Drosophila melanogaster: one gene and its partners. The protein of the gene in region 3 purifies or fractionates together with the protein of the main gene of each other region. This does not show direct contact. Each region holds a gene or a part of one and is shown on either strand. Other genes may lie near its edges.

Region 1 (3,560 bases), 4.3 Mb from region 3:
CCCTGCGCTTTAAGCCCATGCTCCAGCGGGGCGTGGAGCTGGCCTCGCTGGACGCCGCCTGGGTCTCCTCAGCCTCTTGGTACTTCCTCAACGTGTTCGGCCTGCGCTCCATCTACACACTGGTTCTTGGCGAGAACAATCATGCCGATCAGACGCAGGCACAGGCGGATGCCATGACGGGCGCCGCCATGACTATGCCCCAGGATCCAAAGGCCGCCTTCAAGGCCGAGTGGGAGGCGCTCGAGATAACCGAGTACCACAACGCACTCAAGAACATTGACGCTGACATGCTGGCTATCGCCAGTGCACCCGCGGCATCATCCTAATTAAGTTATGTATTTTAGCAAATTCACAATGTAACAAAGTAGATTTTGTTTCGAGTCAGAGAGGGTTAAAATAAAGCAAGTTGTGTGACTACAATGGGAAACCAATCCGTTCTGCATGGAAATCCAAATGTAATGCCCATTCCCAAGTTTTGTATTAAAGAAACACTTTCGATTATGATTGCTATGACTGGAAATTTAAACTATGTGCCACTCCCAGTCGCGTGTCAACAGAACGATAAAAACAAGCAACTGTGCAACGTAACTTAATAGTAGGCCTCTTCGGTGGCCTCCGTTTGTGGAGCTGGCTCCTCGGTGGCCGGCTCTGGAGGAGCGGAAGCTGCTGGCGACGGAACCTTCTGCGGAACAGGCGGCGACGGAGACTTCTGCAGCGCGGGCTCCGGCTCACTCATCGGATCCGTGGCGGGACCTGTTGCCTCTGCGTCCGTGTCTTTGGAGGGTCCGGGTTCACCGCGACCCGTGTTCAAAGGCGACGGAGGACGCGCAGTGGCCTGCACCTTGAACTGCTTCTCCGGCTTCTTCAGATCCTTCGGCTTGCCCATCAGACGGTAGTCATTGGGCAATTCAGCCTCTGTGTATAGCTTATCTGCGAAGTAGATGCGCCGGATGCGTACGTTGGCATGCAGCTGCAAGGATACCGTCTCCAGATAGTTGGAGCCGTAAGCACGGCGCGTGAAGTCGGCCAGGTTAAACTGGATCTGGTTCCACCCCGGTGACATGCCCATCGGCATCGCCGTGCAGAAGGGCTTCACGGAGGTCTTGCTCTGGAAATTGGACACTCGGAAACGGCGCATGAAGCGCTGATCGTCTTGAATCTAAGGATATATTGTCATCATTGTGCAGTCCAGAGTTTACTATAAATTCATAGCACTTGGCCTTACCTTAACTTCGAAGCAAAAGTACTTGTGCATGTTCTTTATAAGGAGCACCAGGAAGGGCAACTTGATGCCCAGCTGCTCCTTGCATTCGCTGGGGCAGTGTATGAATGTGGTGGACACATTTGAGCCCATTATCTCGAGCACCAGGGACTTGATGTCCTCATCGTAGATCCGTTTGATATACCCGTTTTTGGTCTGTTACAAGGATGCTTTCTAGAGACGAGGCAGCTGCATTGAATGCCAGATACTCACATAGGAAGACCAGTTGTTCAGGGGCGAACTGCCTACGCTGTAAAGCACGGTAAGGAAACCTTTTTGATAGGCTGCACGATACATTGTCGGTTGTATATTTTGAAACTGTGTGTGTGGTTTCAACGATCAAACTATGGACATGTGACTGAGTTAACACAGCAAACTTAAACGAAATCTAGACTAATTGTAGAATGGATTATAGGTGACCCAGTGGGCGCGCTCCTGGTCCTTTTCGGTTTTATGGGAGGTGAAAAGGGACTTGTAAACATCGCTGGCCTTCGGGTCCTTGGCCACGCTGAAGTCGCTCTTGAGACGCTTCAGTTCGGGATCCTGCATTGCATTAACGGCGCCCAGTCGTTTGACCGGCGCCACCGCCTTGGTTTTTGTGCTTGTAGTGGGCTTCTCTGCGGCTGCAGCCTTGGATGTGGACGCCACTGGCTCCTGTTCCTCTGCGGGCTCCGCTTTCACCTCCACCTTTTTGGCACTCTTCTTGTCCTTTTTGGAGGACTTACGCTTGGCCGCACGCATTTCCATCTTGACCCGCATGAGCTCCATGTCCTCCTCGTTGCCATTGAGGACCACCACGTCCTCAACGCTATAGGCAGCCTGGCACAGCGGACAAGTGCTAGCCACACTGCCTTTGATCTGTTTCAAGGCACGCTCTGATAAAACGCATCCGCAGCTCCAAAGGGCCACAAAGCGAAATTTGCCGGACATCTCCAGGCCAATCAGCTTGCAGATGTAAGGAGAATGTCGTGTGTCCAGCAGTCCCTCAGTTTTGTCCTCCTCGGTGAAGGCGGGATTGGGTGTGGGATTAAGCTGGCGAATGTCCTTCATGCTCTTCACGTGCGCAGCTGTCTCTGGCATCGGTTCCTTCTCCAGCAGTCGCTCAATGACGCTCTGCTTGGAATAGAGCCTACCCATGCCGCACATGGCGATCGGCTCCTGGAGGCTTTGCTGGGTCAAGGTGCAGTGGCGCCAACGGAACTCCCTCTCCGCATCTTTGTCTTTCTGTAGGGTTCGAGAAATGATATTTCGGTCTGGCTAGGAGGTGCTCCAATCGAATAGACTTACCTGCTCTGGCTTTTGCTTCACGCGCACCAGCTCATCGCGCCTGGGAATAGTTCCTCCATCGCAACCCATGATTATATATTTATCTCAAGAATTACAATATATTTCCTGGGAATTCCTTGTTGGGCAAACTATAATATGCGATTTACAATGGGTTATGATATTTTTCAATTGTTTTACATTTTACACGGTATAAGTATCTTACTTACTTTAAATAAACTAACGATATAAATAACTATATATCTTCAGGTTGTAGTAAATGGAGAAATTCTGTTATGAGCAATAACAAATGTTTTATATACACAATGTCCATAGAGATGGTAAAACACCAAACAGCTGTAGCGACTGCAATGACGATTGCAAACATCGATATCATATATTCGATATAAATTTTGGTATATTACGGTGAACCAAACTCTTAGTATATCGAATTTGATTTTTAAATTTTCGAAAACTAAATTTGGAATTTGCAACATTTTAATAATAAACTCCTACTACGTGTAGTAGAAGGTAAGTAATTATTTCTCATTTTTCCTTCATATTTACTAAAATACCCAAAGACCAAAAAAATAATATTACTTGAATTTATTATCGACAGCTTTATCATAGAATTACAAACTACTGAAGACCAGCTCCTACGCATCCGTAAAGGGGCAGTGCTTGGCATACGGCACATCAATGCAAATGCAGCCTCGGGCGCTAAATCAAATATGAAATTGGTTATAAATTATATATATGGTTTTTAATAAACTTACTCATCGGGGGCATCGTTGCCTATGTGGTACTCCCTTATCAGCGAGGCGAACTCGAAGGGATTCACTTTGCCGCTCACTGGCAGCCTCTTGGATCCACTAAGATTCAGGCAGCCATTGGGACACGGTACTCCCATGAACTTATTGTGTTTAAATGTGGCAGTGGCCAAGTAGCAGATGCTCAAGAAGTGCGAACATCGCGATTTTCCTGTTTGATAGAGAGCACATTTATTTATATATGATTTCTTTTTCCGAGAAAGAGG
Region 2 (3,823 bases), on a different chromosome or scaffold from region 3:
TACAACACATAAAAGTTGTAAAATTTTGTAAAACAAAAATTAGAAAAGAACAAAACAAAGAAAAAAGATTGCGTACCGCTTTGCAAGTAAGTCAAGTAAAAGAATAAATTGTAAAAATGTAAACAGTTTGTTTTTTTTTTTAGAATGCTTTTTAGTTAGTTTCATGAAATCTTTCTAGCAAACTTTATATAACAAAGGTCGTATATACAAAGTTTTAGGCTTTAAGCAAAGGTAAAATGTCGCGATCTTATAAATATTATATTATTAAGCATTAGCTACAGTAATCCCCACTTTAAAGGTACTTAGATAGGCAGTCAGTCGTGGATCATTTATATGCTGTTGCGTTTGCAGATGCGCCACGAGATTGTGAATGCGAGCGAAGCTTTTGTTGCAGAGTTGGCATCTGAAGTAATAATAGCAACGTGATAAGTTTTAGGTTTGATTTAGTTTAAAACCGAAACCACTTACATGTGGGGTTTTTCGCCCGTGTGCGTCTTGTAGTGCATTTTAAGGACACTGGCATATGTGAACTTCTTTCCGCAGGTCTTGCAGGCATAAGGACGCTCATTTCGATGGGTTCTGTGGAGGAAATACAATTAATTAGCTAGTCTCTACTTGTAGTTAATTAATAGAGGTTCCAAAAGATACAGAAATGTTTTTACTGGAATAATTATGTATTCTTTGCTTACCTTTCATGCTTAACTAGGGAAGTGCGATCCGCGAAGTTGCGTTGGCAATATTGGCAGGTATATGGTTTAGCTCCCGTGTGCTGCCGGATGTGGCGCTTCAGCTGGTAGTTGACGTGGAAGCTCTTGTGGCAAATCCTAAAAAGAGCCACATGACTGAGACATTTATATACACAAAAAAGTGGTAAGTACACCTACTCGCACTCGTAAGGCCGCTCATCGTTATGCCTTCGCATGTGGGTGTCCAGCGTGCTCTTCCTGGGATATCCATTGCCACAGATAGCGCACACATGCAATTTACCCTTGACGGCACCAGCAGGAGCAGGTGGAGGAGTAGATGCAGGCGGAGGATAAGGAGCAGGAAGCATTTCCACCGTTAGAACTGTGGGCCTTTCCTTTTCCGCCGGGCCATGTGGCGTTTCTTCAATGGGATCTTCCGTAGACCAAACTCCCTCTTCAAGCACCTCATCCTCTGGTGGTTCAAGCTGCTCAGTCTCTATCGGTGGCGGAGTTGAAGGTCGCGTTTGCTGCACCACCTCCTTGACTACCCCTTGCTCGACTGCATCCTTTATCACGTATTCCCGGAGAAATTCATTGGAGCGCTGGCATATCTGTCGAAATTTGTGGGCCAGAGTTAGAAATGCCTTGCATCTGAGGCAGATTCTGGTGGGCAGCACTTCCTCCTTTGCCGTTGCCCTTATCTATGGATGAGATATTACTTGAAATTAATTAGAAATATCAAGGAAAACGAAAGGATCCCACCTGAATTCCACTCAAACTTTCGATTTTGTCACAGAGGGATACGCCACCGGGCAGCCTATCGTCCGCTGTCTGGAAAATAGACACCATGTGGGCTTCGCCATCCTGCAGGCAAGTCCTGCACAGGGTCATCATGTTCAATCGTATCTCCATTTGAACCAAACGAGTTGGCCGACAAAAATTAACGATCAAAATAACTCTGCTTCCTCTTCGCTGTTTGGCCAGTCACCGATATTTATCGAAGGGCCGATTGCCATTCGCCCCGGAGCCGCACAAATTTTAATTGTTTGGTCAGTAAACAAACAAAAATTAAATATTTCGGAATTTGTACCTACAATAACAGAAGAATGCATACCAACGTGGATAGCAGGGACCTTAAGTGTCGCATCTGCTTGGTGCAGCCTAAGGATGAGTCTCTCATGCCCACGGAGCCCGATTTTCCAGATAAAATCAAACGCTGCACAGGAGTTGAAGTGGGTTTTTGAATATCTATATTATGATCTATATTACCCATTAAAAACCTACCCACAGTTGAGTGAGAGTCCCGACTGGCCCAATCGCATCTGCACCAGCTGCGCCCTGCTGCTCAGAGCTGCCCTCAAACTCAGATCCCTTTGCCAGCAGACGGAGAAGGATCTGAAGGAGCAGAAGCTGCAGGAGATAAACATAGAGATTGTTCACGATGAGCAGGAGACGAAGAAGAAAACTGAATCAAGAGACCTGTCCAAGAATGAGGCTACCGGTAGCGACAGCGAGTTGGAGTACGAGTACCTAGACTCATACGATGTAACGCTGGAGAGCAGCGAGGATGTGGCCTGTAGTGCCGATGAATTGGTCAGCATAGAGCCTGCCATCTCCGCTCCAGAGGAATCTGTCTATTCACTTAGTCCCAAACCGGTAACTTTTGAAGACGAGGACTCCGGACAGGCTGCTTCCTTTACCTGCAACATTTGCAACAATGTCTACTCAGAGCGCGTAAAGTTGACCAACCACATGAAAGTCCACAGCGCGAAGAAACCACACGAATGCGAGTAAGATTTTGATTTGAATTTGTTCCCATCGTATCCTATAATCGCATAATCCCATTATCTTGTAGAATCTGTCACAAACGTTTTCGCCAGACTCCGCAGTTGGCGAGGCACATGAACACCCACACCGGTAATCGTCCCTACAAATGTGACTATTGCGACTCCAGGTTCGCCGATCCCTCCACTCGCATTAAGCATCAGAGGTAGGTAAAAACATATAGGGCTGTCATAACTAGAATAAAAGAGATATATTTCTGTTAATCAGCTTTAATGTCAATTAATTGTTAACAAGTCTTGATAAAAGTTACTTCAAATCTAAATCTTAAGACATCCACGGAAGTTTCTAACGTTAAATACACTTTAGGATCCACACCAACGAACGACCGTACAAATGCGAGTTCTGCAGCAGGTCCTTTGGCTACTCCAACGTCCTCCGGGTTCATCTGAAAACCCATACCGGTGAACGACCATTTAGCTGCCAGTACTGCCAGAAGTCCTTCTCCCAGCTGCACCACAAAAACAGCCACGAAAAGTCACACAAAAGGACGAAAGAGGTGAAATGATTGCAGTGACTAAGAGGAAACATTGAGGTGCAAATTAAATAAGTTTCTCGTTGAAAATTGTACAATATATTAATGGATAAGTTCTAAGCCATAGGGCACCGCCATTAAAATTTGTCATTTTTCCTTATTTAATTTTTTATAAGAAGTAAAAAACAAATTGTACAAAAAAATATATCCTGTGTACATTTATTTGCTTAATGGAAGAACTTAAACAACGGCTTACTAAATACTTAGACTAAACTTTGCATAAGAACTAAAAAGAACATGTCACTCTTTGGGGAGTTCATTGAGAAACTCCGGCGTTTCCCCCTTGACATCTTCTGCTTTGGTGCTCTCTTCTGCGTCATTTCTCCAGGTGATACGTCTATTATGCGTTTCCCGATGCAAACGCAATTTGTAGGCCTTCACAAATCCTTTGCCACAAAGATCACAGCTGAAAGAGAATAGCTATTATTGCAGGATAATGAAGTAGTAAAATATGTTGATGCTTACACATGCGGCTTCTCCCCCGTGTGAATCATCTTGTGGAACTTCAGGTTGTCCGAGTAGGTAAACGTTCTGGAGCAAACGTCGCACACGTAGGGACGCTCCTTAGTGTGAATTCTGGAGAGAAATAATGTCAGTTTAATTTACTTTCAACTGTTTCGAATATTTCTCACCTATGATGTTTGGTTTTCGTGGATCGATCGGCGAAGGCAGCTGGACAGTAGTTGCACTTGTATGGTCGGTTCCCCGTGTGAGTGTTCATGTGCCGTACCAGCTGTTGATTCTGCACAAAGCCTCTTCC
Region 3 (4,098 bases):
CCAGACTATTTGCCCTGATGAAGTACCTCTTGTGGATCAGCTTACTTTTCATTGGAGAATCCCATGGATACGTGCGCCTCACGAACCTCAAGTGCGAAAGCTATGACAAATCATTCGTCGTCTTTCCCGAATGCCGACTAAAAGTGCTTGGCAGGGGAATTATCGGAGCCAACATACACGTTAAGCTTCTGAAACTGCCAATAAATAGGATGGTCGTGAGATTCATCACTTACCGGAAGCTAAACGGATACCATCCGTTTCTATTTAATGTTTCCGAGGAACACTGTCGCGTCCTAAGGTATCCAAATCGTCTCAGAGTCTTCTACTATTTCTACACCGCCTTTATGCCCTTTTCCAATATTAATCATACATGTCCCTATAATGTAAGTATTTAGTTTCGCCAATATGACAATCATATTAAATCATATTAAAATATATATTTTAAGGATGATATTTACATAAGGAACTGCACCTTGGATGATCGTATGTTTGCCAAGGTCCCATTACCAAAGGGTAGCTATAAGTTAACCCTCGAAATGGATGATGGTGTCGTGAACTGGATTTCCATCATAAACATCCACTTTGAAATTGACGTTGACTAAGATGAACAAAACATTAGAACACCTAATGGATCTAACACAACGAACACATATTTATTTTGCGTTAATGTTTTAATTATTCCTATGCCCGCTATATGATATAGTTGTCCGATCTGGCCCGTTCCGACTTCTATACTTAATGCAATACAAAGTTCGTTAATGCAAATTGCTTTAAAACTGACTAATTACATCGGTTGTTAATACTCTTCGAGAATACATACACAATATGGCGTCTTATTTACTTCTCTGCTAGATCATTCTGAGTTATATTTATAATGTATTCATATTTACTTTGCTCAATGCTCAATTTATCGCCCCGCTGTGTTATCGGCGAGTTATCAGCAGCGTGGTCGTTATCACCGGCGTTTTTAAAAAACTGATTGCGGCAACAAGACGTCTCCGTTTTATCAATAGTTAATGTTTATTGAAATTTCTTTTCTCTCGTTTAAGGTTTAGGTGGTCAGAGTAAACGCCTCCGCAGTTGGGCAGCAGATACAAAATGTTTTCTCGCGTGTCGTGTCTTTACAATGTTTCATTTAAGAATATGAAGGATGTGTGGTGTGTGCTCATTTGGGATTGATTTATATTTTGGAACAATTTTGGGAGTTAGCAGAACTTCCATCGGTTGCCGCACTCGTTGCACATGACGAAGGTGGTCATAGGTTCATCGGCGGAACGAGTCTGCAGCTGGTTGTAGGTGCAGTTGCGCTTCTTGCACTTGGCGCACTTGAGGAGATCGGTCTTGGTGCCCTGCACGGTGGCCAGCTGGGCATCGTTGATGGCCTCCTTGACGAACTTCTCGCGCAGCTTCTTCATCTCATCGCTGGCCATCTCCTCCGGCGTCATTTTGGCCAGCTGCTTGGCAGTGACGGCGCCGCACATAAAGTTGCCTCGCAATCCAGGATTTTTGGGGTCCTTCAGATTGGCCACGCGTGACCTAATGCGATTCTTGTACTTCATATCCGTGTTATTGAACTCGGAGTAAATGGCATCCTCCAGTTCGGCGGCCATTTCCTCCGGCTCACCGCATCCTTCGGGCACTTCACCAATCTTCAGTGCGGTGGCCAGCATTTCGCGGCATTTGATGCGGACCGCATCTGTCATGCCGCCGGAGGGAAACGAGGTCTGTGACGAGGATGTCGAGCCTTTCTTCTCTTTATCCTTGGATGAGCTGGATGAACTGGACTTATCCTTGCCGGAGATTGACGACGACGACTTGGCGGCACTGGTGGACTTCGAGGCACTGCTGTTGTTGGAGGAGCCCTCCTTAGCGGAGCTGTTGTTCGGTGTGGTTGGCGCCGGGCTGGCGAGGAATCGTTTCCAGTTCTTGATCAGCGTCTTGGCCAGAGCGATCACCTCGTCGTCCTTGCTACTCTTGCGCAGCTCGTTTACGGTCATGCCGATGCGCGTTTTGGTCAGAATGTCGAGATTGATGTTAAGCGTTTGCAGGGCCTTCAGCAGGTCCAGAGCCTGATCCTGTCCCTGTACGGTGGATATATGTATATTTGTGACATGATGCGCGGCACGTTAGCTAATCCCGATACTTACTGTGCCGTCGCTGGCCATCTTGCTCATCTTCTTTTGGATTCGAAACACTTCCTCCTCCACGCTCATTTTGGCCCACTTAATTTGATCAGAGGTTAGGTTAACTGGCGTCGGCTGTCGGCTTTAATCGGTGCTGCGGGTCTGCGACAGTTGTTTATGCGGAAGCCGGGCTATTTCTTTTTTTCCCTCCAATAAATGTTGTTTACTATTTTTTTCGTTTCTGTATTCGCAGAACGAGTTGACAGAACACCCTAACGCGTTTTAGTGTTACCGGGCGGTGGCTTGTCAAGAAATGCCTTCCCATGGCTAATACAATTCCCAACTGGAAGTAGTTTGGGTTTCAGAAGTCAACAGTGTTACCGTATTTTAATGTACATCTGGCTTTTAAGCGAGTACACACACATAGCATTGCGATGTTTTTTAAACTTGCACTGCTTGCAAGCAGGGCTCCACTGTATTTCAATGAAAGAACAGCGTGTTGGGCGTTTTTGAATTATACTAATTACCTTCAATAACAATTCCCTATATATCACTTAGTTTTAATAAATAAATCGTTTGAGTGTGGTCTAGAGATGATGTATTATGATGAAGTGCGGTTGTTGGGGACAAGCGGGATACGTCTGCGGGTCAAATCGGCGGTGGGACATAGTGAGAGGGCAACGGCTCCAAAACCAAGCGTTGCGAACAATCACCAACGCGCCCTGGTACGCGAGAAATGTTGATATCGCACATGACCTCAGCATCCACCTTCAGTTTGAGAACAAATTAAATCAGGCACATACCAGACAACCAGGAGAACACTGAGGAGGCGTCATCAAAGATATCTTTGGACACGTGGCATAAACAAGCCAAACTATTATCTAATCAATATTTTTATACAAATTTTGTATGTTTCCATGTTATCTTCGTTGCTCCTGTTAGTTACTACGTTTCATAGCCCTTAAATTGGTTGCTTAACGTAAAATAAAATTATATTGTATAAAAATAAAGAGGAATTCACCTATAACAAACGAAAAAGTAAATAAATAAGAACTTCCCCATGTTAAAAATGCCACCACCATCTTTACATATAAGTATGTACATATGAATGAATCACTTAGGTTGCTTGAATATTACAATTTCATTAATAGCTAAATCACATTTGATGTGTTAGTGGAAAACGGCTATATATATAAATTATCGAAATTGTGAATATCGAATTGCGATAGCACAATGGGAAATTCCACCACTAGATTTTTGGTACTTTTAACAGATCCTTTTCGGTTTTGCGTTGCGCGAAGTGATCTGAACTTATCAAAGTTTGTAAGGTAATACATAAAGTGAAAAAGAATTAATTTGCTCTTGAAAGGCAGGGTAAGTAGCAAGAGACTATCTTAGTGATATGCAATTAGTTTTGAATCGGATTTAATTTTGCAACATTAAAAATAAGCTCATTAAAACTTGTCTAAATTGACTCGACAAGTTTTTCATTTTCCAATTTTTAAATCCGCAAAATTAAAACCATTTGAAAACGTATTACATATATTATTCCCCTTATCATTTTTAATTCTTCTATTGTAAAAACTATCCCATTTAAATATTAATGTTACACCCATTTTCGTTTTACAATTTTCGAATACTTAAGCTCATTTTGACTTCATTCTTCCATTTTCGGTTATGTTTCAGCGTTGTCGAAGCCCCTTTTTGTACTTCTAACGGATTTTTCTCATATTGTTACACCCATTTTCGTTTTACAATTTTCGAATACTTACTTTTATTAAGCTCCTTTTGACTTCATTCGTTCATTTTCGGTTATGTTTCAGAGTTGTCGAAGCACCTTTTTGTACTTATTACGGATTTTTCTCCTTATTTGACTGTAGCAATTAGAGAGCTTGGCAACCCTAGAACATGAATTCCTAATTTGGTTTCCTCTTTGCGTTCTATTCTAACAGGATCTTGAAAGGTCTAATATAAA

The links.
Region 1: the proteins of TfIIS (region 3) and CG17118 purify together in Drosophila melanogaster (affinity purification with mass spectrometry, with the first as the bait; 2 studies listed by BioGRID). This does not show direct contact.
Region 2: the proteins of TfIIS (region 3) and CG4854 purify together in Drosophila melanogaster (affinity purification with mass spectrometry, with the first as the bait; 2 studies listed by BioGRID). This does not show direct contact.

The regions. Positions count from the first base shown.
Region 1 is NT_033779.5:10,728,297-10,731,856, reverse strand, and holds CG17118 (uncharacterized protein), read right to left. Parts: upstream 1,603-3,560; 5' UTR 1,559-1,602; coding exon 1,475-1,558; intron 1,418-1,474; coding exon 1,226-1,417; intron 1,160-1,225; coding exon 590-1,159; 3' UTR 501-589; downstream 1-500. Other genes in the region: EMC3 (ER membrane protein complex subunit 3), read left to right, coding at 1-326; CG6443 (uncharacterized protein), read right to left, coding at 1,655-2,485, 2,549-2,617; CG6431 (uncharacterized protein), read right to left, coding at 3,181-3,244, 3,301-3,505.
Region 2 is NT_033777.3:20,026,363-20,030,185, forward strand, and holds CG4854 (uncharacterized protein), read left to right. Parts: upstream 1-1,695; 5' UTR 1,696-1,792; coding exon 1,793-1,918; intron 1,919-1,976; coding exon 1,977-2,476; intron 2,477-2,541; coding exon 2,542-2,676; intron 2,677-2,837; coding exon 2,838-3,036; 3' UTR 3,037-3,199; downstream 3,200-3,823. Other genes in the region: CG4424 (uncharacterized protein), read right to left, coding at 265-403, 469-579, 690-824, 885-1,387, 1,449-1,598; trem (trade embargo), read right to left, coding at 3,304-3,469, 3,529-3,639, 3,696-3,823.
Region 3 is NT_033779.5:15,058,286-15,062,383, forward strand, and holds TfIIS (RNA polymerase II elongation factor), read right to left. Parts: upstream 2,473-4,098; 5' UTR 2,214-2,472; coding exon 2,148-2,213; intron 2,082-2,147; coding exon 1,206-2,081; 3' UTR 634-1,205; downstream 1-633. Other genes in the region: CG33679 (uncharacterized protein), read left to right, coding at 18-383, 447-602. UniProt on the Drosophila melanogaster protein: Necessary for efficient RNA polymerase II transcription elongation past template-encoded arresting sites.